Ovis aries: one gene and its partners. The protein of the gene in region 6 interacts with the protein of the main gene of each other region in a pairwise test. Links are inferred from orthologs where the notes say so. Each region holds a gene or a part of one and is shown on either strand. Other genes may lie near its edges.

Evidence for each region.
Region 1: the proteins of LNX1 (region 6) and melanoma-associated antigen B18 interact in binary tests that used the Homo sapiens proteins (3 or more experiments, as listed by UniProt). The link is inferred for Ovis aries from reciprocal best matches to the Homo sapiens genes LNX1 and MAGEB18.
Region 2: the proteins of LNX1 (region 6) and RAD51D interact in binary tests that used the Homo sapiens proteins (3 or more experiments, as listed by UniProt). The two-hybrid records come from large-scale screens. The link is inferred for Ovis aries from reciprocal best matches to the Homo sapiens genes LNX1 and RAD51D.
Region 3: the proteins of LNX1 (region 6) and NADK interact in binary tests that used the Homo sapiens proteins (3 or more experiments, as listed by UniProt). The link is inferred for Ovis aries from reciprocal best matches to the Homo sapiens genes LNX1 and NADK.
Region 4: the proteins of LNX1 (region 6) and RPIA interact in binary tests that used the Homo sapiens proteins (3 or more experiments, as listed by UniProt). The link is inferred for Ovis aries from reciprocal best matches to the Homo sapiens genes LNX1 and RPIA.
Region 5: the proteins of LNX1 (region 6) and ACAT2 interact in binary tests that used the Homo sapiens proteins (3 or more experiments, as listed by UniProt). The two-hybrid records come from large-scale screens. The link is inferred for Ovis aries from reciprocal best matches to the Homo sapiens genes LNX1 and ACAT2.
Region 7: the proteins of LNX1 (region 6) and NUDT14 interact in binary tests that used the Homo sapiens proteins (3 or more experiments, as listed by UniProt). The two-hybrid records come from large-scale screens. The link is inferred for Ovis aries from reciprocal best matches to the Homo sapiens genes LNX1 and NUDT14.

Annotation. Positions count from the first base shown.
Region 1 is NC_056080.1:24,366,237-24,369,261, reverse strand, and holds melanoma-associated antigen B18, read right to left. Parts: upstream 1,571-3,025; 5' UTR 1,524-1,570; coding exon 501-1,523; downstream 1-500. UniProt on the Homo sapiens protein: May enhance ubiquitin ligase activity of RING-type zinc finger-containing E3 ubiquitin-protein ligases. Proposed to act through recruitment and/or stabilization of the Ubl-conjugating enzyme (E2) at the E3:substrate complex.
Region 2 is NC_056064.1:14,699,884-14,703,383, reverse strand, and holds part of RAD51D (DNA repair protein RAD51 homolog 4), read right to left. Parts: intron 1,305-3,500; coding exon 1,223-1,304; intron 971-1,222; coding exon 836-970; intron 345-835; coding exon 249-344; intron 1-248. UniProt on the Homo sapiens protein: Involved in the homologous recombination repair (HRR) pathway of double-stranded DNA breaks arising during DNA replication or induced by DNA-damaging agents. Bind to single-stranded DNA (ssDNA) and has DNA-dependent ATPase activity.
Region 3 is NC_056065.1:50,237,701-50,241,980, reverse strand, and holds the start of NADK (NAD kinase), read right to left. Parts: upstream 2,801-4,280; 5' UTR 2,616-2,800; intron 2,515-2,615; exon of another isoform or gene 2,046-2,514; intron 1-2,045.
Region 4 is NC_056056.1:59,367,177-59,371,251, reverse strand, and holds the start of RPIA (ribose-5-phosphate isomerase), read right to left. Parts: upstream 2,801-4,075; 5' UTR 2,769-2,800; coding exon 2,496-2,768; intron 1-2,495. UniProt on the Homo sapiens protein: Catalyzes the reversible conversion of ribose-5-phosphate to ribulose 5-phosphate and participates in the first step of the non-oxidative branch of the pentose phosphate pathway.
Region 5 is NC_056061.1:83,780,247-83,783,746, forward strand, and holds part of ACAT2 (acetyl-CoA acetyltransferase, cytosolic), read left to right. Parts: intron 1-102; coding exon 103-284; intron 285-1,710; coding exon 1,711-1,828; intron 1,829-3,288; coding exon 3,289-3,432; intron 3,433-3,500. UniProt on the Homo sapiens protein: Involved in the biosynthetic pathway of cholesterol.
Region 6 is NC_056059.1:69,695,614-69,699,113, reverse strand, and holds part of LNX1 (E3 ubiquitin-protein ligase LNX), read left to right. Parts: intron 1-120; coding exon 121-255; intron 256-3,500.
Region 7 is NC_056071.1:67,272,519-67,274,828, forward strand, and holds part of NUDT14 (uridine diphosphate glucose pyrophosphatase NUDT14), read right to left. Parts: intron 2,255-2,310; coding exon 2,211-2,254; intron 1,734-2,210; coding exon 1,669-1,733; intron 1,491-1,668; coding exon 1,253-1,490; intron 1-1,252. UniProt on the Homo sapiens protein: Hydrolyzes UDP-glucose to glucose 1-phosphate and UMP and ADP-ribose to ribose 5-phosphate and AMP. The physiological substrate is probably UDP-glucose. Poor activity on other substrates such as ADP-glucose, CDP-glucose, GDP-glucose and GDP-mannose.

The DNA of each region.
Region 1 (3,025 bases), on a different chromosome or scaffold from region 6:
TTTTCACATGTCCAAAGAAGTGCCTTTTACCATGCCATGTTGTGTTGTTCTAGTTCAATATATACTAAAGGTTTCCCAATTTATGTTGCAAGATAATAAAACTCTTATATTAAATCTATTAGATTAAATCTAATATGTAACCAAAATCACTAAGTTTAGATTCTGAAATGTATATCTTCTTTAAAAGAAAACATTAAGGAAAGAAAGAAAGGAAGAGAGAGAAAGAGGAAAAAATAGAAAAAGAAAAGAGAAAAGATTAAACTCTTGTTTACTATATAGAACAGAAACACAAAGATGATATTATAATTTTCCCTGTGGGCCCACCCTGGTCATCCACAGCTTAGAATGTTACTGCTCTTTTTCAACCTAAAAAAGAAAAAAAAGAGAGAAAGGTAAAATTTTAAGTTAGCAATATATACCAGGAACTCCAGGATGGTATACACTTCTCCAGTCCCACCCTGGCCCTCCACTGTTAGAATGCTGACACACCTTTTTGAATTTCACTTAGCCTGGGAGGAGGTGCTGGCTCTGGCTCTAGAGCGGGCACTGGCCAGGGCAGCAGTACGAGCCCTGGCTGCAGCTCTGGCTCGGGCTCTCTCTTCCTCATCTCTCAAAGCCTCTTGATACCAGGATGGGAAGGCAGTGGGGACGGTATCGTGAACCTTGGCTAAAAACTCCAGGACTTTCATTTTGCTGGTTTCAGCATGGGCTCTTGGGCCCCACAGGAACTCATAGCGTGGAGGCTCACTGTTGGCCACCTGGCGGTACTCCAGGTACTTGAGCTGCACCAGATCTTCTGTGAGGACCTTCTTGGGATCCCCATAAATGAAGTGCTTCCTTTCAGCATATACACCCATCATATTCAGCACTTCCCAGATCGCCTCTTCAGGGGCGCAGTTGCCTCTCATGAAGATCACACCAAGCACAATCATCAGGATGCCGGTCTTTGGCATGTGCTCATATTCATTCAGAGCTGAATCATAGGAGAGGTCTAGTTTGTTGACAAGGGTGTAGCAGTGCCTGGTAGGATCCACTTCCTTCAAATCAACACCAAAAGCCAGCTCCATATGATCAGAAGCTCTCTTGAGGATCTCATTGTAATGACTCTTGTACTGTTTGATAACAAACTTCATCATCTCTGCCTTTCTAATTGGCTCTTTCTTTTGATACTTCTGCAGCAGGAACTGCACCAACAGAACCACTTTCTTATTTAAAATCTCACTGAGTGAGCTCTCAGCGCCCTTGGGGAAGCTTGTGCTTTCCGCCTTTGGGCTATTGATATTTTCAGCTGAGTTGGTGCCTGAACTAGCTGCAGTAGCACCAGTGGCTCCCTCAGGTGCCTCAGGAGTGCTGGGTGTCCCAGCAGCAGGCAGATTCTCAGGTCTGTCCCCAAAAACCGAAGAAGGGGACTTTCCTGCTGCTGCTGCCCCAGAGGCCTTAGCAACCTCTAGGCCCTGGGTCTCAGTACGGGCCTGGCGGCGTTTCTCACGGGCACGGAGCTTACTCTTCTGACCCCGAGGCATGATGACTGGTCAGGGACCGCAGACAGTTGCTCAAGCTGCCAAGGTTGATGAAGAGCTCACCCTAGAAGACAGAGGAAAAGAAGGCGTGTATAGCCTCCATAGGGAGATTCTTCTATCTTGGCTCCAAGAACAACTGCTTTTGTTGATCCCCTTAAGGGTACCGTTTTAAAAACCCACAAGACAGAGGCCAACGGAACTCTGTGGGCCGCCTCTGTTCATCAGGGGCTTGTCACCTTAATTCTAACCCAGAACACTGAACTTGACTCCTGACCAGTCCTTTTACGACTCCTTCTGCTGACTTGAGGCTTCCCCTTCAGACCAAGGCTTCCCATCCCACAAATTCTTCTGGTGGAAGTAGCGGGGTGTTGGGCCTAACGGTCACTTTGAGCCACTCGGGGGTTGACGGTCGGGATGGCGCAAGTTAAGATAGGGAGGGGCTCTACGGGACCACCCGAGTTCTGGGAGGAGTGTGTCCCTTTACTTCTAACAAAGATTGTCTACCTGGACACTTGTCCAATCCTGGAACTCGTCCCTCTGTAGATATACGAGGCCACACCTCTCCAACTGAAGCCTCGAGCTCCGCGGCTGCCGTGGCGGAAGGCAGGGAGAGCACTTCCGGTATCGCCCAACTAGGTTTGCCAGCATTGAGGGCGGGGGGGAATCGGTTCTGGAAGGGCCTCCCTGTCTGTCCTGGCAGGCGGAGAAATCGTGCAGAACTCACATGAGGGAGTCTTACCTGACTCCTGACAGGGCCTGGGACTTCTTCCTCTGCTGAGCTAAGTCAGCTGGCCACAGACCAGGGTTCTCATTTCCCTCGGAACCCCCAGCAGGAAGTAAGGGGTAGCCTGAGCCTAGCAACCATGTCTAGGGCCTACCAAGACTGATAGTGGGCGGGGGGGGGGGGGGGAACGGCTCTTTGTGGACTCTTATTTTGGAGTGGGCTCTCCCCTCAGTCCTCACTCAGTTTCTTACCTTGATGCTTTGTAAGTGAGCTACTAATCTGATAGGGTGCCAGACCAATCAAGCAAGGCATAAATCTATAAATAATTTAAGGGGAATTGACTACTGTACAATACTCTACTCATCATGAATAAACAGAAGATATGTTGCTCTATGTAAGATTTCTTTTACCTAAGTCTGTCAGTAATTTTTTTTACATTTACTTCCATAAACATCATGTGCATTGTTGTTCGTTTTCTTTTGACGTATCTTTTGGATAGCACTGCTGTTTTGAATGATGTATTTACCATTATATATCCTAGTTACTTATTTTGTGATAAGAGTCCTCCTATTGGGACTTACCTGGGGGTCCAGTGGATAAGACTCCAAGCTCCTAATGCAGGGGCATGGATTCAGTCCCTGTAGGGGGTCTAAGATCCACATGCTACGGGGTACAGCCTTTAAAAAAAAATCTTCCTGTTGATATAGTGATCTTCTGCACCAGCTTTTGAAGTTTCTTATAAATTTGAATAGTTGGCAGCCAGTTTCCTTGGGGTTTTTAA
Region 2 (3,500 bases), on a different chromosome or scaffold from region 6:
GGACCTAGTTGGAATGCAGAGATGAACAGGACCTGATCCTTGCACTCAAGGAAGAGGCTTAGTCTTTAGTGGGGAAGATGGGCTTGTGAACGAGGAGGCAAAGAATTGAGGAAAGAGAGAACTAAGTATCCAGAAATCCCATCCTGGGAATGGCAGGCACAGCTAGAGTCACCGGATTGCACACCTGCCCACACGCAGACAGCATAGGTGGGCTGCGGGGAGCAGGGAAGGCAGAAGGTCAGGCTCACCTGCTGGGACACAGCGCCTCGCAGGTCCTGCAGCGCGCCCAGCATCTGGAAGATGTCAAATGCACGTACCACCTGGATCCTCTGGAGAGCTCCTGCCTGAGGGGGCAGGAGAGAGAAGGGAGGGCCTTGGAGAAGAAGAGCCGGGGGTCACGCACGATGAAGAGGGATTTTGAGGTTGAGAGAGAAGAGGCGCTTAGACACAAGGACTCAGGTACAGATGGCAGTGGGCTTTGTCTGCTGGGCCAGTTCACAATATGCTGGCTGCCTGGGTGCTGAGCTGCAGAGCCAAGTCAGAGCTCCATGGGAAGGAGTGGCAGTGATCTGTGTGTCTGCCCTGGGCAAGATATGGGGGAGAAACACAGAGGGGATGCCAGGGGTTGGGTTTCTAGGAAGGATCCTTGTGGGTAGCATCCAACTGGGATGATGTCATAAAGGGGAGGCTTTACAATACAGGAAGCATTAGTGGAACAGCAAGTTTCAAAGCCAGAAATGACTAGTCACCCAAATGGTCCAAATTCTTGCCGTGTTAGATAATGGGGTCTTATGGTGTCAGAACCTCCAAGAAACCCAACCTTCCTGCCCTTTACCTGCTCCTCCTCGTCCAGGGTCCTGGCCTGAAGCAGCTGGAGGATGCGGGAGGCTGTGAGCCCTCCGTTGGAATCAATGTAGAGGACGTTCTGCTGCAGGCCATGGGCCACGTTTGCTGCCACACAAAGACATACCTGAGTAGAGACGGGCCATTGGGTGAACCTGAGCCCTCAAGAAGGGCCCAGAACAGGAGCCCCCCACCAAATCTCATCCAGATCCCAGAGGCGCGAATGGGCCCTGAGACGCGAGTTCAAGTCCCACTCCTCACCACCCGTCTTCTCTCTTCCAAGCTCTGAAATCACAGCATCCTGGCAGAAGCTTCCCCAGAGATCCAGGACTGTGCATCCACCTCCCTCAACCCTCCTGGCTGCTGGCTGCAGCTGTACCTGGGTTTTGCCGCTACCCGGGGCGCCTACAATTTCAGTCACTTCTCCAGTGTAGAGACCAGCATCTAGCAGTTTGTCCAGGCTGATGGCAGAAGAGGAGGGAAGAGCATCAACGGAAGGGACTGGACGGGTGGGAGGAGAGGAGGGGAGGAGGAACAGCAAGACATTCCTTCCAAGCATTGTTCTGTCCAGAGACGCTCTGACATCTCTGGCCAGGAGACTCCTCCTTGTGGAGTCTCCTTTGGGGAAAGCCAGCACGGCCGAGTGTTCCCCCTCGGGCCCCTCATCCTTTCACTCTCGCCTTAAAGATCACCTCTGGGTAATCACTTCTCTCCGGAGGTCTCTTTGCTGCCCCATTCAATGGTTCTCCTCTCAATCTCCATCACAGCCCCTTCTGGGTTTCCTTGATAGCACTGCCCATAATTTGTCATGTTTTAAACTGAGATAATTATAGATTCACAGGAAGTTGAAAAAAAAAAAACAAAACAAAACCATGTCGTGAGGTCCCGTGTACCCTTCAGCTGGTTTTCACCAACGGTAGCATCTTTTACTCTGAGATGTTTTGTACCACAGCTTAGTGCAACAGCAAAAAACAGCACTGGTGCAGTCCAGAGAGCTGCAGCTCAGTCCTTCCACGTGCGTCCGTGCGCGCAGTTCTCCGCCGTTTCACCCCACATGTGGGTTTATGGAACCACTGCAACCGAGGCAGAGCATTCCCATCTCGGCAGGGCTCCCTGTGCCACCCTTCTATAACCACACTCCCCCCTAAATCCCTAGCCAGCCCCTGGCAACTGCTTAATCTGTTCTCCATTATTATCATGTTATTTCAAGAATGTTGACTTCCCTGGCGGTCCAGTGGTTGAGACTCTGCGCTCCCAGTGCAGGGGGCACAGGTTCAATACCTGGTCAGGGAACTAAGATCTCACATGGCGTGGCCAAAAAACAAAGAATTTCTAAAGGGACCCAAGCATGAATATTTCTTAAGCTTCCCAAATAATTCTAATGAGCAGCCTGGGCTAAACCACAGGTCTGGACTCTACAATCAAGAATCAATTGCATTCCTGGCCATGAGGATCTCCATAAGGAATTCCCAAATCCACCTCGACATGGACAGACCCCCCTCCCTGCCCCCCTGCCACCTGCCTTGTGGAACAGAAGTACAACTGAGCCTAACACCGTTTTGAACACAAGTGCTGTCTGGAATTTATCCTCCACCTTCCCCCCAAACTGGCTTTCGTTTATTCTTTCAGTCACTCATTCAAACATCGCCTGAGTGTCTCACATTTCCTAAAGGCCTTTTTCTAAACCAAGCCGGAGGCAGAGATGAACAAGACACAGCTCTGGCCTTCGAGGAACCACCCTTCTTCCCCGGTCAATACAGCTACTTCCGAGGCTTGCTGCCTGCTCTCCCACTTGTAAAGATGCCCCCAGCACTACAGGCCGTGAGAAGACCTAGAGCAGAGGGACTTTCCTGGTGGCCCAGTGGTTAAGACTCCTTGCTTCCAAGGCAGGAGGCTCAGGTTCAATTCTTGGTTGGGGAACTACGATCCCACATGCTAAGTGGTATGACCAAAAAAAAAAAAAAAACAGAGAAACCTGCTTCATTTGATTAACCAGCATTTCGTGAGCTGTTGACTACAGAACTCCCCTCCCCTCCCCTCCTGTGTCAGTTAATACCCATCAGTGTCCAAAGACCACTATGACAAAGACTAGAAGCCTAGGGGTCATCTTTGATTCGCCACTTTCGCATCTCCCCAGCAGGAAGGCTCACAGCATTTCTTCAATATGCCTCCTGCTGTCTCCCGCCCCAGATCCACTCACAACACCCTCCCCTGCTGTATCCTCCTGGGCCTCTCCTGCCAGCCTCCCCTGCCCCATCCACCCCGCCCACCTCTAACTGTAACTCCACTTTCACAACACAGCCTCCTGCCCGGAGGCAGCAACAGGGCAGATGCCTTAGAGCTGAGTTCTTAGGCTTAACAGCGTGACGGGTGTGACCTCAAGGGCCTGGTCCGCCACTTACCCACTGCAGGATCTTTTTTTTTTTTTCCCTTGGGCTGTGCCACCCCACTTGTGGGATCTTAGTTTCCGAACCAGGGGTCAAACTGTAGTGGAAGCACAGGAGTCCTAACCGCTGAACCACCTGGGAAATCCCTAGCTGGGGGATCTTGAGCAAGTCTCTTAACCTGAGTCCCAGTTTCCTTATCTACAGGATGATGGCTTTCATTTCTTTTTTAAGATTTTTTTTGATGTGAATGAAGCATTTTTTAAGTTGCTA
Region 3 (4,280 bases), on a different chromosome or scaffold from region 6:
TGGTTAGGGCTGCAAGCTTTCACTGCTGAGGGCATAGGCTTGATCTCTGGTCAGGGAACTAAGGTCCAGCAAGCCACATGGCACGGCCATGAATAAATACACAAGTAAATAAAATGCAGGAGAAAGTTTTCGGGACCTAAAGTTAGACAGAATCTTTTTTGTACATGATATAAAAAGCACACTTCATAAAAGATAAAAAAAATTGGTAAACTGTGCTTCTTAGAAACTTGCTCTGTGGAAGACTCTGTAAAGAAAGCCGAAAAAAAAAAACCCACAAATCAAGCTATAGACAGAAAATATTTTCAAACTAGATATCCAACAGATCTGTACCTATAAAATAGCAAAAACTATCAAAATTCAACAGTAAAAAACAGACAGTCCAATTAGAAAGTGGACAAGAGCTGACTGGACAGACGAGATGTGCCCATGGTAAAGAAGCAGGTGTAAAGATGCTCCATGCCGATGGGCCAGAAGGAACTAAAACCACAGTGAGATGCCACTGCACACTGACCGGAACAGCCAGACAACTCAGCGCTGGAGGTCGCAGAGCAATGCCTGCTCACACACCACCCAGGACCAGAACATGGCCAGACACTCTGGAAAGGGCTGACGCCGTCTTATAAAAACTAAAAACGAAACAGACAGCCTAGCAAGTGCACCTGGCCATTTACCCCAGAGAAACACTGATGCTCACAGAAAAACCTGCACCTCAACATTCACAGCAGCTTTTAATTTGCAGCAGCCAAACACCAAAGACAGTCCAAGCGTCCCCACTGGTGAGCAGGCCCGGCCACCAGAGGGAGTGGACATGGACTCCGAAACCAGCTGGGTGACTCCAGGCTGACTGCAGGGCAAGGAAGGTCACATGATAAATGCTCCCATTTATATAACTTGCTTTTCATTCATTCTTTCTTTCTTTTGGGGGGCATACCACGTAGCATGTGAGATCTTAGTTCTCCACCAGGGCCCCGTGAAGTGGAAGCTCAGAGTCAAAAGCACTGGACCACCAGGGAAGTCCCTTACACGCCTTTCTTGACATGACAAAACACAAGCGCATGGAGAACAGATCACTGGTGGCCAGGGAGTGTGGGGAGCCTGGGGTGGGCTCCCTAGGTGACACCAGATCTGAGGCTGTGGTGGCAAGCCACACAGCTGTGCCCAGTGGTGGGAAAAGTGGTGAACCCAGCAAGGGGTGTGATGGAGGTGCCAGGGTTCACGTCACTGTGCCACGGATGTGGGGATAAGTGCAGGTGTTCCTCTGTATTGTTTTTCACAACTTTCTGGGAGTCTAGAATTATTTCAGTTCATTTTCAAAAGACATCCGCACTGGGAAGTTTTAACAGAAAAGTGTTGGAGCATAATGACCAAGAAGGAAAGGAGACACACCGTGATGCCCATAAGCAAAAGTCACACATAAATATAAACATAACATGATGCCCAGTGCGAGCTCTCAACATACACCTGCTGAAATACTGAACGAAAAAGCAAAGTTTACCCCTCCTTAACACTGACGCGATAAAAGGTACCTATTAAATCTCCCCTCTCCCGCCAGTAGGTGATGCTCAGTGCTGGCCAGGACCTGACAGAACTGGGCCCACAGAGGGGCAGAGGCTGCTGGGCGGAAGAACAGGATCAGAGACGCGAGGGGGGCTTCAGCGTGGCAGACCCGACCCCTGGGAGATCTCGCACGCGTTTGGGCTGAAGCAGGTATTTGCACACCTAGCTCTCTGCACAACAGCCCGCCTCCGGGCCACCTTCAGCCGGTTCCTCTTTTCGCCAACAGTCTACACACGCATTTGCCCGGCCCCACGCACTGAACTCTGGGCCGAGACAGCGGGTCGGAGACATCGCAAACGACGAGCCGGCAGCCCTGCCCGCAGGACTGGGCCCCTTGCACTGTCGGTCAGAGCCTGGGGGGTGGCCCGCAGCCCCCGCAGAGAACCGACCCCTCCAGTCATCCTGCGGGTGAACCCGGCCTCCCTTCCAGCCTGGCTCGGGGTGCCCCGTCCACCCCCGGGGCCGACTCGGGCCCATCCCACGCCCACCTGAATGCCAGGCCCAGGACACCTGGGCACCCGAGCCCCAGGGCCGTAGCCCGTCGGCCGCACCTGCGGGTCCCTGTCCTCGTCCTCAAGTTCCCGCAACGGGGCAAAGGTCACGGCCAGAGTCCAGGGCGCCGTCCAGCAGGAAATGCGTACGCCTGGGCTCAGGCCCGGTCCCCGGCGGGTGAGGAGGCTCCACGAGAACCAGAGCGCGGCGGACGCAGAGGCAGAGAGACAGGGGGCTCGGACCCGGCTCAGACGGGCCAGCCGCCGGCCTCAGGGGTCGTCGGCTGGGCGCTGGGTTCCGAGCACAGAGGAGCTTTCCGAGGATGAATAGCGCGACGTGGACCCCTAACTGACCGCCCCGCGTGAGGGCCGGGCCCGCCACCTCGTTCACAGTGCGGTCGCGGGGGTCGAGGTCCGGCCACCCGGACACCTGCCTCGGCGCCCGGGGCAGGGTGTGTGGCCAGTCAGTGGGCAGGGTCGTTCCCGCCCCGCCCCCAAGACCCTGACCCCACGACCCCGACCCCACGACCCCGGGCAGAAGGCCGGGCCGAGGGGATGCGCACTCACCGTTCGCTGCCCCGGGCGCCTGCGGGGCCGTCTCCTCGCCAGGCCGCACCCGCGCGTCCCGGCGCCCCGCCGCCGCTCGCCGTCACTAGCCGGCCCCTGGAACCGCGGCCGCCCCCTGCCCCATGGCCGCCTCCGGCCCCACGGCCACCCGGCCCGCCGAGCAGCAATACCGCCGCGCCGCCAGTGCGCAGGCGCGCTCCGCGCCCCGCGCATGCGCGCCCGGCGCCATACGCATGCGCTGCACGCTCGTCCCGCCCCTCGCAGGTGGGGAGGCCGGCTCTGAAGCTAGGCCCGGACAGAGGGCGGGACCGAGGCCTGGGTTGGAGGCACTGTGCGCAGAGTGCGCGCGGGCTAGGAGTTGCCCTCTGGGGAGGAGCGGGGGCCTCAGGGCTACGCTAGGTATCTACTCACCTCGCTGTGTCCTAAGCAGGTTCGCCGACCCGGGCCCCGCCCCTCTCGCATCCCTCCCGGTGGGCTGACTGCCCAGCTAGTGGTGACACTGCCTGCCGCGGACTCCTTAACCACTGCTTAGAAGGAAAGTACTTTGGCATAGAACTGCGCCCCTTGGCTGCCAGCACAGGACACAGGTGGAGGCAGCGGCCTGGTCCTGCCATCGTGGGCCTGGCCCACCCCAAGCAGCCCGGCGGCTCCTTGCACACCCCCTGGACCTGAGGGACTCTAGGCAAGGTCTCAAGCGGGGCCCCTCAAGGGTGACCTGCCAACATTGTGCTTCCTCATTGAAGGACCTAGAGAGGAGGGAGGAAGGGCCCAAGAGGGAACTGCTCTCCCGCAACCCCAAGTCCAGGCATGGTAGGTTACCCAAGTCTTGCTGAATTGACAGGTTATGCACCACCAGGGCAGTGAGTCAAGTGTCCCAGTGGTGTGCTGGGCTCCTGGATGTGATGATGCAGGGCCTCTGTAAATGAGCCTGGGTGAGCCACCTTTTTCCTCTCCCCCTAGGCCTCCTGGACAGAGCATCTGGTCCAGGCCGTGTGCAGACAACGAGGTCCTTTGCAGCAGCCTGGCCTTTAAATTTATGTATCTGCATACCTGCTGCTGACATCTTCTCTGGCTGGGAACGCCTGGCCCTGTATTCAGAGACCTCGAACACACCTGGGCATAGCAAAGGACACTTCTTACATGACCACAGGACCATGGGATCATCAAGGGTGAATGGCAAGCAGGGCAAAGATGGTGGGAATTTGGGGGGATTTCTCAAGCTCCAAACTTCCCCATATCTGGTTATTTTGAAAACCCAACCACTTCCTCAAAGTGACCTCCCCTCAGCCACACACCCACAGAAAAGCAAAGCCTTTTGAGTTGCATTTTTTGGATGATATTAGCACAGAGAAGGCAATGGCTACCCACTCTGGTACTCTTGCCTGGAAAATCCCATGGGTGGAGGAACCTGATAGGCTGCAGTCCATGGGGTTGCTAAGAGTCAGACACGACTGAGCGACCACTTTCACTCTTTACTTTCATGCATTGGAGAAGGACATGGCAACCCACTCCAGTGTTCTTGCCTGGAGAATCCCAGGGACAGAGGAGCCTGGTGGGCTGCTGTCTATGGGGTCGCACAGAGTCGGGCACGATTGAAGCGACTTAGCAGCAGCAGCAGCAGCGCAATAATACGAATGCTTGGCTAGGGCCCCCAAGAACCTTCTA
Region 4 (4,075 bases), on a different chromosome or scaffold from region 6:
ATGCAGAAGCAAGGGAGGAGCAGTCAAGAAACAAAGCCATGAGGCAAGGGCCTGGTTCCTCCTCAAGGAATATACATGACAACAGTCTCTGAGTTCTTCCACAGGAACTAAGGCCCCAATCAAGTAGAAAGCTGCTAACCACCACACAGTTACCTCACCATCAGCCAATCAGAAGGTCTACACACAGTGGAAGATAAGACTCTGACCCCCTTCCTAAATGATTAACTGCAATTAACGTCCCCTTTCACCTTAGTAAAGTAGGTTCTAGAAGTCGGCCTTCTCGCCAGGTTGCCAGCCTCCAGAACAAAGCAATTTTTTCTTTCCCAAGTTTTCTTTTGAAAGCAAACTTGTCTTTCAAGGGGTGAGCAGTCAAATCTGAGTTGGGTAGCAAGGGAACAATTTCAAGACACAAAGTGCTAAAGGAAAATTTGGCCTTAGATGGAGAAAAAGGATAACCCTGGAGAGGGCTGCTAAACCTTGACAATCAGGTACAGGACTGTGATCAATAACCTTGTCTTGGAATTCAGTGATCTTGTTTGCAAAATATCCAGGATCAGCATCTTCTCCTCCCTTTAGCCACATCTCTGGCCTCCACACCAACTACCTGACACATAGCAGGCACTCAACAAGTTCCCGCACAGGAATGAAATGAATGAATCAGTGGTAAGAAGTACAAAATACAGGACTTCGCTGGCGGCTCACTAATAAAGAATCCACCTGCCAATGCAGGGGACACAGGCTCCATCTCTGGTCCAGGAAGATCCCAGGAGAGCAACTAAGCCTGTCCGTCCCAGCTATTGAGCCTGTGCTCTAAAGCCTAGGAACTGCAACTACTGAAAACTGTGCCCTAGAGTCCATGCTCTGCAACAAGAGAACCCACTGCAATGAGAAGTCTGCACACTGCAACTAGAGAGCAGCCCCGGCTCACCACCAACTAGAAAAGCAGCTGGAGCAGTGACCCTGCACAGCCAAAAATAAATAATAAATAAATAAGATTATTTTAAAAAAACATTCAAATAGTGTTGACATCTCAGGAAAGAAGTCTGCAAAGGCAAATAGTGTTAACTGAGACTGGGGTGAATGCCAAAAGGTCAATGGAGATCTCCCCAGGATGGTCTGGCAACTTCAGGCAACAGGTGGCTGGGGGCTCTGGCCTGAGGTGGGGGCTTGCAAATTTTTATTTAACCAAATACGTAATTTAAAAAAAAAACCACAATGGTCAGGAAGACATAATAGTAATAGGATAATAGGAAATCTAACATACAGGTCTTTTCTATTTGTATAGATTTCATTTGCCCATTACCATTCACTTTCTAGAGGCATTTAAAATTTCAGCCGATTGTCCCAATGTTGCAGCTGAGACACTAAATCCCAAAAGGAGAGCCAGATGACACATTCCACATTATCTCTGTGTCCCATAGAAATTCCTATTGCTAACCAGACTATTACACCAGAACAGGGCAGCTATGTAACTGGGGGAAGGGCACTGGAACAGGAGTCACTGGGTTTGGGTCTGGGAGGATACTTGGTCATTCCTCCTACAGAACACGCTGAGCCACAGGTTACCACGCGGCCCTCCCACTTGGCCAGGCTGTAGGAGGATCTAACATCTATCCAGCAAAATAACTTCGTACACGAAAGCATTACCAAATGTAAAGAATAAAGAACCATTATTTGAGAAAAGAGAATCTGATACCACTTTCCAGAAAGCAGAAAACACTAAAAGCCAATGAAACCCAGGAAACTCCACCTAAGGGCAGAGATACTCCACTTGGCTCCCAGCTCCCAAAATTCTTACAATTAACATGATTGTTGACAGCAAATCCAAAAGACTCCACCAAGAGGACCACACCCGCCACTTAGCCAACAAGTGGGGTCACGACCTCACTGACATTACATTACGACCTCACAATAACAGCTAAACATCTCCACATCCCGACCTTAAAGAGGATCTCCAGACTTCAAGTGTCCACCCGAGCCCTGCCAAAAGGAGGAGGTTTAAAGTCTTTGGCTCCTTCTCCGCTTTCCTCCGGCAAGTACATTCAAGAGCCGGTGCGCGCCCAGCTAAGCACTTCCCTGGAGTTAAATTTCAAAACACTTTTCAAATCAGCTCCCCACCGACTTCCCTGGGCAGTGAAGCGAGGTGAACACTTCTCGGCAGTCCCAGTCTTTTATCTGTTGATAAGGAAGCCAGGCGCTAAGTCCCTCCTAACCCCACTCCGAACATCAGACACACCACCACGCTCCACTTGGCAAACTGTTATCTGGCCTGACAAGCAGTCGTTAGACAGCTGAACTTTAGGGTACTCGGCCCCAACCAATTCCATATTTCAAAGGCCTTGAAGGAGCAGGTCTCAAGGCAGGTCAAGTGCGTACTCTCTCCCCTCTCACGCAGCCCCCGCTCTGCCAGGAACTTGGCGCACCTGGCAGCGCTCAGAACCCACAGCAAGAGCCCATACCGCCCAGCACGGGCGCCCAAGCCCTGAATTGCTCACCTTCACGTGGTTCTCCACGGCCGCGCGGCCAGCCAGCTTCTTGGCCTCCTCGGCCTTTGACATCGCGGACGGGCCCGGACAGACGGTGTTAGTCTCCCTGCCGCCGGTACTGGTGCTGCCAGCGCCGAACTGCGAGCGTCCCGACAACTGCACGTGGGAACCCGGAACGCTCCAGCTGTTCCCGCCTCCGCCAGAGGCCGCGCCCCCGGCCCGCCCGGGCAGCGGGGCCAGGACCCGCCCGTAGAGGGTGCTGAAGGGCCCGGGGCGCTGCATCCCTCCGCCTCGCTCCAGCCTCCGCCACGGGTCCCGCCCCCCGGCTCCGCCGGAAGTCTTGAAGCCCACGTACAAGGTCCGCTTCCGCTGAGGCGCGGTACTTTCTGGGAAATGTAGTTCTAGGTCTTCAGTGACCGGAAGCCGCGCCCCAGCCTGGACTACCAGCCCCACAGTGCTCCGCGACCGGGTGCGCAAATCAAAGACGACTTTGTTGTGACGGCTCGTACAGAGCAAGCATCCCCGGATGGATCAAGGCTAGAGTATTTTTTATTTGCCCCCGTGTCTGAGATGGACGTTTTGGATCTAATCCTGTTGGATTTTCTAGCCGTAAGAACGTGGCGGTGTACGAGGCCTCAGGGCAGTCGCTTTTATGGAAATGTCCTTTTGGGAGTGACTTCTCTAGACGGACTCCCCGGGGAAGCGCACCTGCGGACAGCGGCTCACGCTTTAGTCCACATTTAGACCTCCTTCCACAGGAGCAGGGCTACAGATTTAGAAGCCCCAGCCTTAGGTTTTGTTCTGCCCTGCGCAGCATTGGATGCCGCGGTTCCCTCCAGATGGAGCTTGGCTCGACGCCTATGTGTGACCTATAGAAATTATTGACTCAAAAAGGACTGTCGTTGAACTAACAACTCTCTTTTCTTCCCTACCTATAAAGTGTCTTGCTGTGCTTGTCAACTGAAAAAAAGTACAATGTAAGTAAAGTGAGTTTCAGTTTTATTCTGGCAGCTTACTTGGGACTATAGCTGGGGAAATAACATTTCACCTCTGTGGAACTATTCCAAAAAGATAAGGGAGGCGGCCAGTACATACATGTCTTTTTGGTCTTGGAAATGTAGTCAAGCGTTGGTGTTCAAGTAGCTCAACCACGTCAGGGCTCTGCGACCCCATGAACTGCAGCCTGCCAGGATTTCCTATTCTTCACCATCTCCCAGAGTTTGCTCAAACTCATGTCCGTCCAGTCAGTGATGCCATCCAGTCATCTCCTCCTCTGTCCCCCTCCTCCTCCTGCCCTCAATCTTTCCGAGCATCAGGGTCATTTCCAATGAGTTGGCTCTTAACATTCAGGTGTCCAAAGTACTGGAGCTTCAGCTTCAGCATCAGTCCTGCCAATGAATATTCAGGGTTGGTTTCCTTTGGGACGGACTGGTTTGATCTCCTTGCTGTCCAAGGGACTCTCAAGAGTCTTCTCCAGCACCATAGTTCAAAAGCATCAATTCTTGCACACTCAGCCTTCTTTATGGTCCAACTCTCACATGAATATGTGACTACTGGAAAAACCATAGCTTTGGCTATACAGATCTTTG
Region 5 (3,500 bases), on a different chromosome or scaffold from region 6:
GCGGGAGACGCAGTTGGCAGCCTCTTGAACTTTGCATGCACTTTCATCCCAACATGCTATCTTTCTCTTTGGCTGCTGAGAGGCCTCTGATTCTTCTTCCAGGCTGTGGGCAGAACCCTGTTCGACAGGCCAGTGTGGGTGCAGGAATCCCCTACTCTGTTCCTGCGTGGAGCTGCCAAATGATCTGCGGGTCAGGCCTGAAAGCCGTGTGCCTCGCAGCCCAGTCGATAAGGATAGGAGACTCGAGCATTGTTGTTGCAGGAGGCATGGAAAATATGAGCAAGGTAAGGCCTCTGAAGAGATGGCGCTCCCTGACCACTCCTGTCCATTGCCACAGCAGGGTTGACTGATGGTCAACCTGAGAGCTGGAACCAAACAGGGAACAAGGAAAATTTGGATCGAACCTTGATCCCTGCATGCATGTTAATTATTCACAGTGATTGGGAAGTTCAAGTTAAAGACAAAGCCGGTCAACCAGTGTGATGTCCTTAGTTTTACATTTCTTTCTCATTGTGAGGAAAAGTCAAAAACCAGATGTTGCACTCACCTTCCTGCACGGGACAAAGGGTATTCCTGGGGACCACAGCCTGTCGACCTTTTGTAGGTACACAGTGTGGAAGAGAGGACCCACTGAGCGGTGCCCATCTCCAGTGGGCTTGCCAGGTGGGATTGGCTTCGTCAAGTTCCGTCCCTCCCGCTGACACAGTAGGGAAAAAGGAAAACGTGTAACCCCTGCTTCCTGCAGCAATTCAAGGTCTCCCCTGGGGAACCCCTGGGCAGAGGCCGGTTCAGCCCTCCTTGCTCAGGCTTGGGAGGAGACAGGGCGAGAGTAGCAAGCACAGAGATTCCAGTGGGGCCGTAGCACCACCTGTGTGGTGCTTGATGGGGTGCTTTCACACAGGCAGTCATAACAGCCCTGGGTTTGGGTTTTATTCCCAATTTACAGGTAGGGAAACCGAGGCCCAGAGCCAGGATTCAAAATAGAGATCTTTAGGCTCTTCAGTCTTTCCTTTCTAGCTGCTGTTGAGTTGGGAGGAGTTGAGAGGGGGCTTCCCTGATAGCTCAGTTGGCAAAGAATCCCCCTGCAGTGCAAGAGACCCCGGTTTGATTCCTAGGTTGGGAAGATTCCCTGGAGAAGGGATAGGCTACCCACTCCAGTATTCTAGCCTAGAGAATTCCATGGACTGTATAGTCCATGAGGTTGCAAAGAGTCAGACACGACTGAGCGACTTTCACTTTCAAGAGGAAATCCCTCCACTGAGAAATCTCTTCCCATCGGTTAATCAGGCAACCTGATTATTCTCACTCTAGGCATTGTACGTCCCATTAAAATAAGGAACACATTGTTAGCATCACTTAGGCCCATTGATGAGCCCTTTGTGTAACAGATTGCTGGTTGCTTTGGAAAGAATAAATGAGCTTTTTAAAGAAATAGGACAAAATTCACAGGATTATTTGATGGAAAGCTGCAAATGCATAGGGAAGAGTTACAGGTGGGTTTCCAAGGGCAGGTAGGGTGCAGTAGCCTATTAATTCCAGGGGTCTTCAGGCCCTGGGCCCTGGTGATGAGGAAGATGAGCTGGGATGGAGGAGAAGGGTCACAAGGGGGACTCAGTGAAGACTGAGGAACCACTGGATGGTTTTGAGTGGGAGCCTAAGCAGAGGACTAGTTACAACCACGCCTGGTCCATCTGTATTTCTTGTTTCCAGGCTCCTCATTTGGTTCACTTGAGGACGGGAGTCAAGGTTGGGGAAAAGCCCCTGGCTGACAGTATACTCTGCGACGGGCTCACTGACGCATTCCACAATTACCACATGGGCATTACAGGTGAGGCGGACATGGCTGAGAACATACCGACTGTGAAAAGGTTAGAAGGTCTGTAACAGCTGGTTTTGCAGGTGCTTTTCCTCTTTAAGGGTAGGGACCGAGTCCTCATCACTTTGTATCCGTGATGACGGGGATAGTTCCCATTTGATGAAGCCAAGTTGAGGAAATATTCCCTTTCTCCTTTGTGACTCCTTGATTGTCAGGGAAGTTGGTGGTGGGAGGAACCTCAGAGTTCCTCTGGGTCAATCTCTCATTTCATCATATGAAGAAACAGGGCTCACAAATAGTGGCTTTTGTGGCAAAGGCAAGATCAGAGATAAGCTAGTACTTCTGGTATCAAACTCTATTCGTTACACTACACAATCAGGTTTTCATCCACCCACAAGGCTTGCAGTATTTCAACTGCCTTTTCATTATTGTATTCATTATGGTGATCTGAATAACCATTTGACCTAGAATAAGCCAAAACAATTTCGACAAAGCAAGAAACAGAGGGAGCTTTGATCTTTGGTATTACCACTGTAGCTTGCTCCGAGGCTCAGATGATGGTTAGCATGTTTTTCGCAATAAGGTATTTTTAAATTAAGGTATGTACATTGTTTTTTTAGATATAGTGCTACTGCACACTTAATACACTGCACATACTTTACAGTGTACAAATATGGTGGATATCACTTTAATTAAGTGAGCAAAGTTGACATAACCTGAGATAAACTCCAACATGTATCCTGATAAGATTCAGTGAAAAATTATCATCATCAACATCCGATGCTTTCCCACATTATATTCTAATGCATTAGAAGGATTGGTGACATCTGACAAAGGAACTGGCCCCTACCCTTCAAAAATACCAAGGTTAAGAAACATGGACCTAGGCTAAGGACTAGTTGCAAATAAAAACTGAAGAGATTGACAGTGAAATGCAGTGTGTGGTCATGGATTGGATGATACTGAAGAAACAAATTAGCTATAAAGGGCATCCCTGGGACAACAGGTGGACCTTGACTGTTGACTGAGCGTGGAGATAACAGTATTTTATCAGTGTTGCATTTCCTGATTTTGGTAGCTGTGGTTATGTAAGAAGCTGGCCTTTCTTGTGGGAAATATACACTGACATTAAAATTTAGAGATAAAGGGGCATGATACCTACAACTTTCCAAAAATGGTTCAGAAACCGAATGAGAAAGCAGATGGGGCCAAAAAATAGGAACAATTGGTGAAGCAGCGGAAAGGAAATTTCTGAGAGGTATTTTGTAGAAGGGAAAAGAGAAGGAAGGCAGCAAAGAAAGAAAACGGCTCCTTAAGAATCCTTGCAACCTTTCCACACCCGGTGGGAGGCAGGAGTGCCACAGACGACTGTCTCAGCCCGCCAGCGGGCCCGCCGGTGTTGGCCATCAGCGCTTGAGCCACCTCCAGAAGCCATCTGAAAATGTTTGGGTTTTGTTTTTTTTCTTTCACAGCTGAAAATGTGGCCAAACAATGGCAAGTGAGTCGAGAAGACCAGGACAAGGTTGCAGTTCTGTCCCAAAACAGGACAGAGAATGCACAGAAGGCGGGTCATTTTGACAAAGAGATCGTACCAGTTTTTGTATCTTCTAAAAAAGGTGGGTGTGTCAGTTGTAAAGGTTTAAAGGTCAACAGGGCTGTCTATAAGGCAGTCATTACTAGTCTA
Region 6 (3,500 bases):
TACCCCAACACAAAAAGTTAAAAAGAAAAGTAAAACCAGACTCACATCTCGGTAAGTCATCGGTGCTGGATGTTTAGGATGGAAGCTCCAAGTGGCTAACGCCTGTGTCTCATCACGCAGGCCAGTGAGAGGCGTGTTCACCTCGTCGTGTCCCGCCAGGTTCGGCGGCAGAGTCCTGACATCTTTCAGGAAGCCAGCTGGAACAGCAACGGCAGCCAGTCCCCAGGGCCAGGGGCCAGGAGCAACACTCCCAAGGTGAGGCCCAGCCGGGATATGTCCACTGGTCCTGCAGGGAGCTCTTTCTTGGGAATCCTACACACTTGAACATTTCTAAGTGTCATCTCTGGACTTCATCACTTAAACACTGTTTGACTTGTCTTGTAAAAAACAAAAGCCCCAAATCCCATCTTCGCGACCTGGTGAGATAACAGGTGTCTCCTGTCCAAGGAGGAGAGGGAAAGGTACAGGAGTGTTTTGAAACTGGATCGTGAAAACCAGACCTCATATGGGGACCTAATTTCTAGTCTAAGCCAAATGGATGTCTTATTTTTAAAACAGGCGTTTTGTTTAAGGATGGTTCCCATTTATGTTGAAATGAGGAAGGTGGCTTGGTTTCTGGCTTTTGAAGTACCCAACCTGCCTGAAAATGAATGATTCTCTGCTATCTTTTTTTTTTTTTTGCTGCACCACAAGTCAGGCAGGATTTTAGTTTCCCAACCAGGGATCAAACCCACGCCCTCTGCGGTTTGGAGCATGAGCGTTAACTACTGGACCACCAGGGTTGTTTCCCCCTTCTATTTTTAGTGTGTTTATTTTTTGCAAGAATACCCAGGAAGATAATAAAAACATTCAAGTTCAGGTAACATTAGGGAGTAGTGGGGATTGGGACAAATTAGAGTGTATGCCCTTATGGTTTTCAATTCCAGAAAAACTTTAAAACACTGTGGATGAAGCAGAATGCCTCCTTCAGGTCAGCAATTTGTAGCATCTTTAAGTGAGGTGACTCAGGCCAATGTGTACTTTTGCGTGTGGCTTTTATTTGAGGAAGTACTGTACCCTCCCCATTTGGATGGGTATCTAAGTAACACAAACCTTGCTTAGTCCTATGCCTTGGCTTGGCATCCTACCGTGATGGCAATGAGTTTCTAGCTGTCATTTCTCCTGAGACCTGGTTTCATTAATCACTTGTCACTAAACTCTTATAGGTAGCCCATTCTTCTTGCAACAGATATTAGGAATGCCTACATTCTATATCGGGCTGTATTTCAGTTTGGAATCACTCACAAGTTGGAGTTTTTGAGCAATGTATGCAGATTTTTTATTTTGGAATATCTGTTTTGTATACTGTTAACTACATAGCCTGCACCTCGCCTTCCTCCAGCCAGCCAGCCAGCCAGCCATAAATCCATAAATTTTAGGTTTGTTTACAATAAGCAATCTAGAAAAACCAAGTACCTCCTGCTAAAACCTTTTATGGATAATGACTACCTGGTGTCTTTTTGATAATAAATACCATTAGTGTTTAAACTAAACCAATGGTATCTGTTAATGGAAAACTGGCTTATTAGCTCAATTATTTATTTAAAGTTTTAGTGTGAGTTAACTAGACCATATTATATTCTGGTTCATTAAACCACTAAGAATGTGGCTTCCACCAGCACTGTGGCTTTATAATCCCTTCCACCTAACCATCATGAATCATGGAAATAGGGTAATCTGATCAAATTTTTGCTGCAACCTTCTGTCATGTGTCCAGTTTCTGGAAAACATACATAACAGACTGGCCTAGTGGGAACTTGTAATTATTTTCATTTTAATTTATAGTTCTATCTGCCTTCTGAAATGTGCCCCCCCCCCATACACACAGTGGTATATTTAAAACATGTAGACATTTGATGATTTAGTTTTTCATGACCCTACTCAAGTGTTTTTTTGGCTTAGGAAGTAATATGGCTTTTTTAAAGCAGGCACTTAATGATTCAAAGAAATACCAAAAGAAGGGAAACCAAGATTTGTGAAATAGAGAAGTTTTTAGGCAATTGAAAAGCTAAAGGACGATTGACAGTATGGTTACCTCTGTAGGGGAGAACTAATGCTTACCTACACAACCAGTCTCTACAGGGCACTTCAAAGTTCTAAGGTTTATATAAACACACCCCCGATGTTAGAAGTACTAATTGCAGCATATACCTTGCTATAATTATTAATTTCCAATTTAATTATTATTCTATTACTATCAAAAACAAGGTGTGCCAACTTGCAGTTTATCCATCCATTTATTCAACAGATGTATACTTATTGTCATCAATGTGTTAAATGCTATGCTCAGTGCTAGGGATACACTCACATGGCATTACTGTATATAATAAAACCATTACAAGAGACATGGGTTATTTAAAACCATAGGAAATCATGAGGTAATAAATGCGCAAAGATCCTAGGTTTATCTTGCTTCATAATGAAGCATTAAAAATTGATTCTGCAAGCATTAGTTCTGTATTATGAAAACCATCAAATTTACAGAAGTTTGACTATAGCCCATTTGGTTTACTGAATACATAATATATTCACCGAGTTCAAAAGATGGAAAGCATAGTTTCTCACCTATCCCTGCCCTGCCCAGTACTCACCTCCACCACTTTTTCTTTCAGAGCTCCTTTATGAAAATGCAAAAGCTAATAAAAGTTCTTATTTCAGAAGCACGCTTACATTTTGTTCTGTGACGTGATTATTTTTGTCAAATTTAAAAAATTTTTATTTCTTTAGATAGAACTATCAGCTATGTTTTGAACCATAGACCTCCTTGAGGTTTGATCAGGTGTTACATTGATTTGCAGTGCACATGCTGACTTAATCTGCTTGGTCACTGCCCAAGCAGGAAAGAGAATAACTTTTTAGAAAAATATATATTGATATATATTCACTGATATATATTCCTTGACTCACTCTTAATGCTTTCAAGATAATGTTGCATATGGCTTTGATGTTTTCAGTCTTGTGCTGTTGAATCAAAATCACGATTCTCTTGTTTTAGAAGGTATTCTATTAATACAATGTGTATTATGCAATGTGTATATTTTATGTAATAAAATTAAAGGGCATAACTGCACATTATTTAGAACGCTAAAGTAAGAATAAAGTTGTCAGCTGGAGAAAACCCAGATATTGGTGAGTTTTTAGAGCACAGTATCTATGAAGTTCATTATTTTTCTTTGTGGATTTCTGTGATTACCTGAATAAATTAAACTGAGGCCATTTAATTTAAATGTGGTTACTCTTAACTTAGAAAAAGGTCCTGATCTTCATGAGTGACAAGCGTTTCATGAAATGCTGACTCACTGTATCAGGAATAAATGAGTCACATGAAAAATTCTGGGTGCAGTTCACTTTGTATGCTTAACATTTCTCCAGTGGTCTCCACCCTATTCCTCTTTCCATTTTTTACTTCTCTATTTGAAATGTAAATGTTCCGAGTCACCCAATGGCATTTGGGATAATGT
Region 7 (2,310 bases), on a different chromosome or scaffold from region 6:
GGAAGCTTTGGGCCCAGCCACGGGGCTGTGCGAGCTTAGCTCTGGCTTGTATGGCTGCTGTCCGGCTGCCGTCCAGCTCCCGGGGCGAGGAGCTTCGCTGGCCTCCTCTCCCCCTCCCAGGCCTGCCTCCCCTTGTCCCTAAAATGCAGTCTGAGCTGACCACCTGCTGTCCAGAACCCTCCGTGGCTCCCCAGTACCCTCCGTGGCTCCCCAGTACCCTCTGGATCATGGCCGAGGCTGGGTTGCTCGTCCCCTTGATCTGAGCCTTTTCCATGCAACGCCCCTGCCAGGCCTCCACCCAGATTCACCCCTTCTGGGGACCCTGCCCCCAGGGCTGGCCTGCCCAGTGAGTCAATCCCTACCTGAAGTCAGGGCCCCTGGACCGCCGGCCCAAAGGCTCAGAGGCCAAGTGGCCGCTGGCCAGGCACATGGAGGATGCCTGCAGATGACTGGGCCCTCATGCAGCCCGGATGACCCTGGGGTGCGAAGCCCCGCCTGGAGCGCGGGGGCGCCAGGCCCTGCCCCACCTCCTTCCCAAGACTGAAGGCCAGGGACACCCGGCAGGGCCCAGGTGTCGCTGCGGCGGCCCTGGGCCGGCCTGGGGGGCAGAGCTGAGGCCCCACCCCTCTGGAGCAGGCTGCTGGGGGCTGGGGCTCAGCTGGAGACCCTCATCCTGCTCGGGACGCCACCAGGGCTGGGGACCCATCACCACACTCCCAGGGCAAGGGTGGGCTTCACCTGACATCCTGTCCCGGAAGATGTCCCCAGGGGGGTTGGAGTGCCCGGCAGGCACCTGGACTCTGGTCGGGGCAGGCCACACTGCGACCCCTCCCTGGGAGCGCAGAGCGCCAACCCTGGCCCAGGACTCGGCCCTCCCCTCGCTCCTGAGCCGCTGTCAGAGCCCTCTGTGCTCACCCCCACCCCCAGCCCCCGGTGCCTAATCCCACAGGAAGCAGGGGCATCTGTGAGCAGCAGCTGCCACTGGAGCCGGCCATGGGGGTGGGGGGGGGGGGTGCGGCAGGGCCGCAGGGAATTGCAGTGGGGGCTGGGGGCCGCAGGGGTCCGGGGGGGCACAGTGGGGCCAGGGGCTTCAGGCTCCGGCCAAGCTTCCCGCAACCCCGAGCTGCAGAACACAGCGATCTCGCCCTGCTCGCACAGCCCTGGGGAGGAAGCACTCGCCGCCCCCCAGCGGCCCGTCCCAGCCCGCCTCCAGGGCTGTCCGACTGCCGGCCACCCTCCCAGCCCCACTCACTTGTACGAGGTCACCCGGCGCAGGTCAGAGGGTGCCAGGCGGTAGCCGCACTCCTCCCAGGCCTCCTTGCAAGCCACCTCCTCCAGCGAGAGCCCGGGCTGGTCCAAGAGGCCGGCACACAGCTCATAGGTGACCCCCGCCGAGCCAGGCAGCGCCACCTGCAGTGCCTGGGGCCTGTCCTGCTCCGCAGCGGCCAGGGACCCCGGGAAGAGACGCTCCACCTCGCCAGCGTACACGGCTGGCGGGGGGAGGCAACCGCGTCACAGCCTGTGGCGGCCGGCTCCACGTGACCTGCTCTGGCCAGACCCCCTTGCCAGGGCTGTTTCTCCCGGAGCCCCCTCCCAGGTCTGCACACTGATGCCAGGACCCCAGGGGACTGAACGTGAGCCCGCCAGCCTCCCCGCCCCCAGCCTCACCTGGCCGGAACTGCTTCACCAACACCAGGCTCCTCCGGGAAGAGTTGAACATGAGGATGGTCACGCTGGGGGTGGGGGGTACTGAGCTCAGCACAGAAGCACGCCCTCACCTCACCACCCTCCTCCACAGCCCTGGAGGCTTGGGTCCCTTGCTCAGATGGGCAGACTGAGGCCCAGGCCAGGACAGAGCTCGCCGGGGTCACACTGCCAGGTAAGGACCCAGGCCTCCTGTATGTGCCGGGTGGCAGGAGCGGGAAGGACACACTGGGCAGCTGGACAGGCTGGGGTTAGCAATAGCTGAGGGCACAGGAATGACAGGACACGTGGGCCCTGCAGGCCAGCTAAAGCCACACTGCCCCCAGCCCATGCTCCTGGCGCTCCAGGGCAAGGGCACCTGGGCAGTCCACACGGGGCCCCTCGGTGAGAGGCAGGGAGAGCAGGGGCGCTCAGAAACGCAGAGGGGGCTGTGGCTCTGTTGCCCCTGGGCCCCATGTCCCTGCCAGCCTGGGGCTTCCCTGGTGCCAGCCAGGCCAGGCCCTCACCTATCGTGAGTCTTCATGAAGTCCCACGATTTCTGGGTGCCATTCTGGAAGAGAGAGGGCAGCGGTTGGGGAGTGCCCCGGGGAGCGAGGAGGCCCCGGG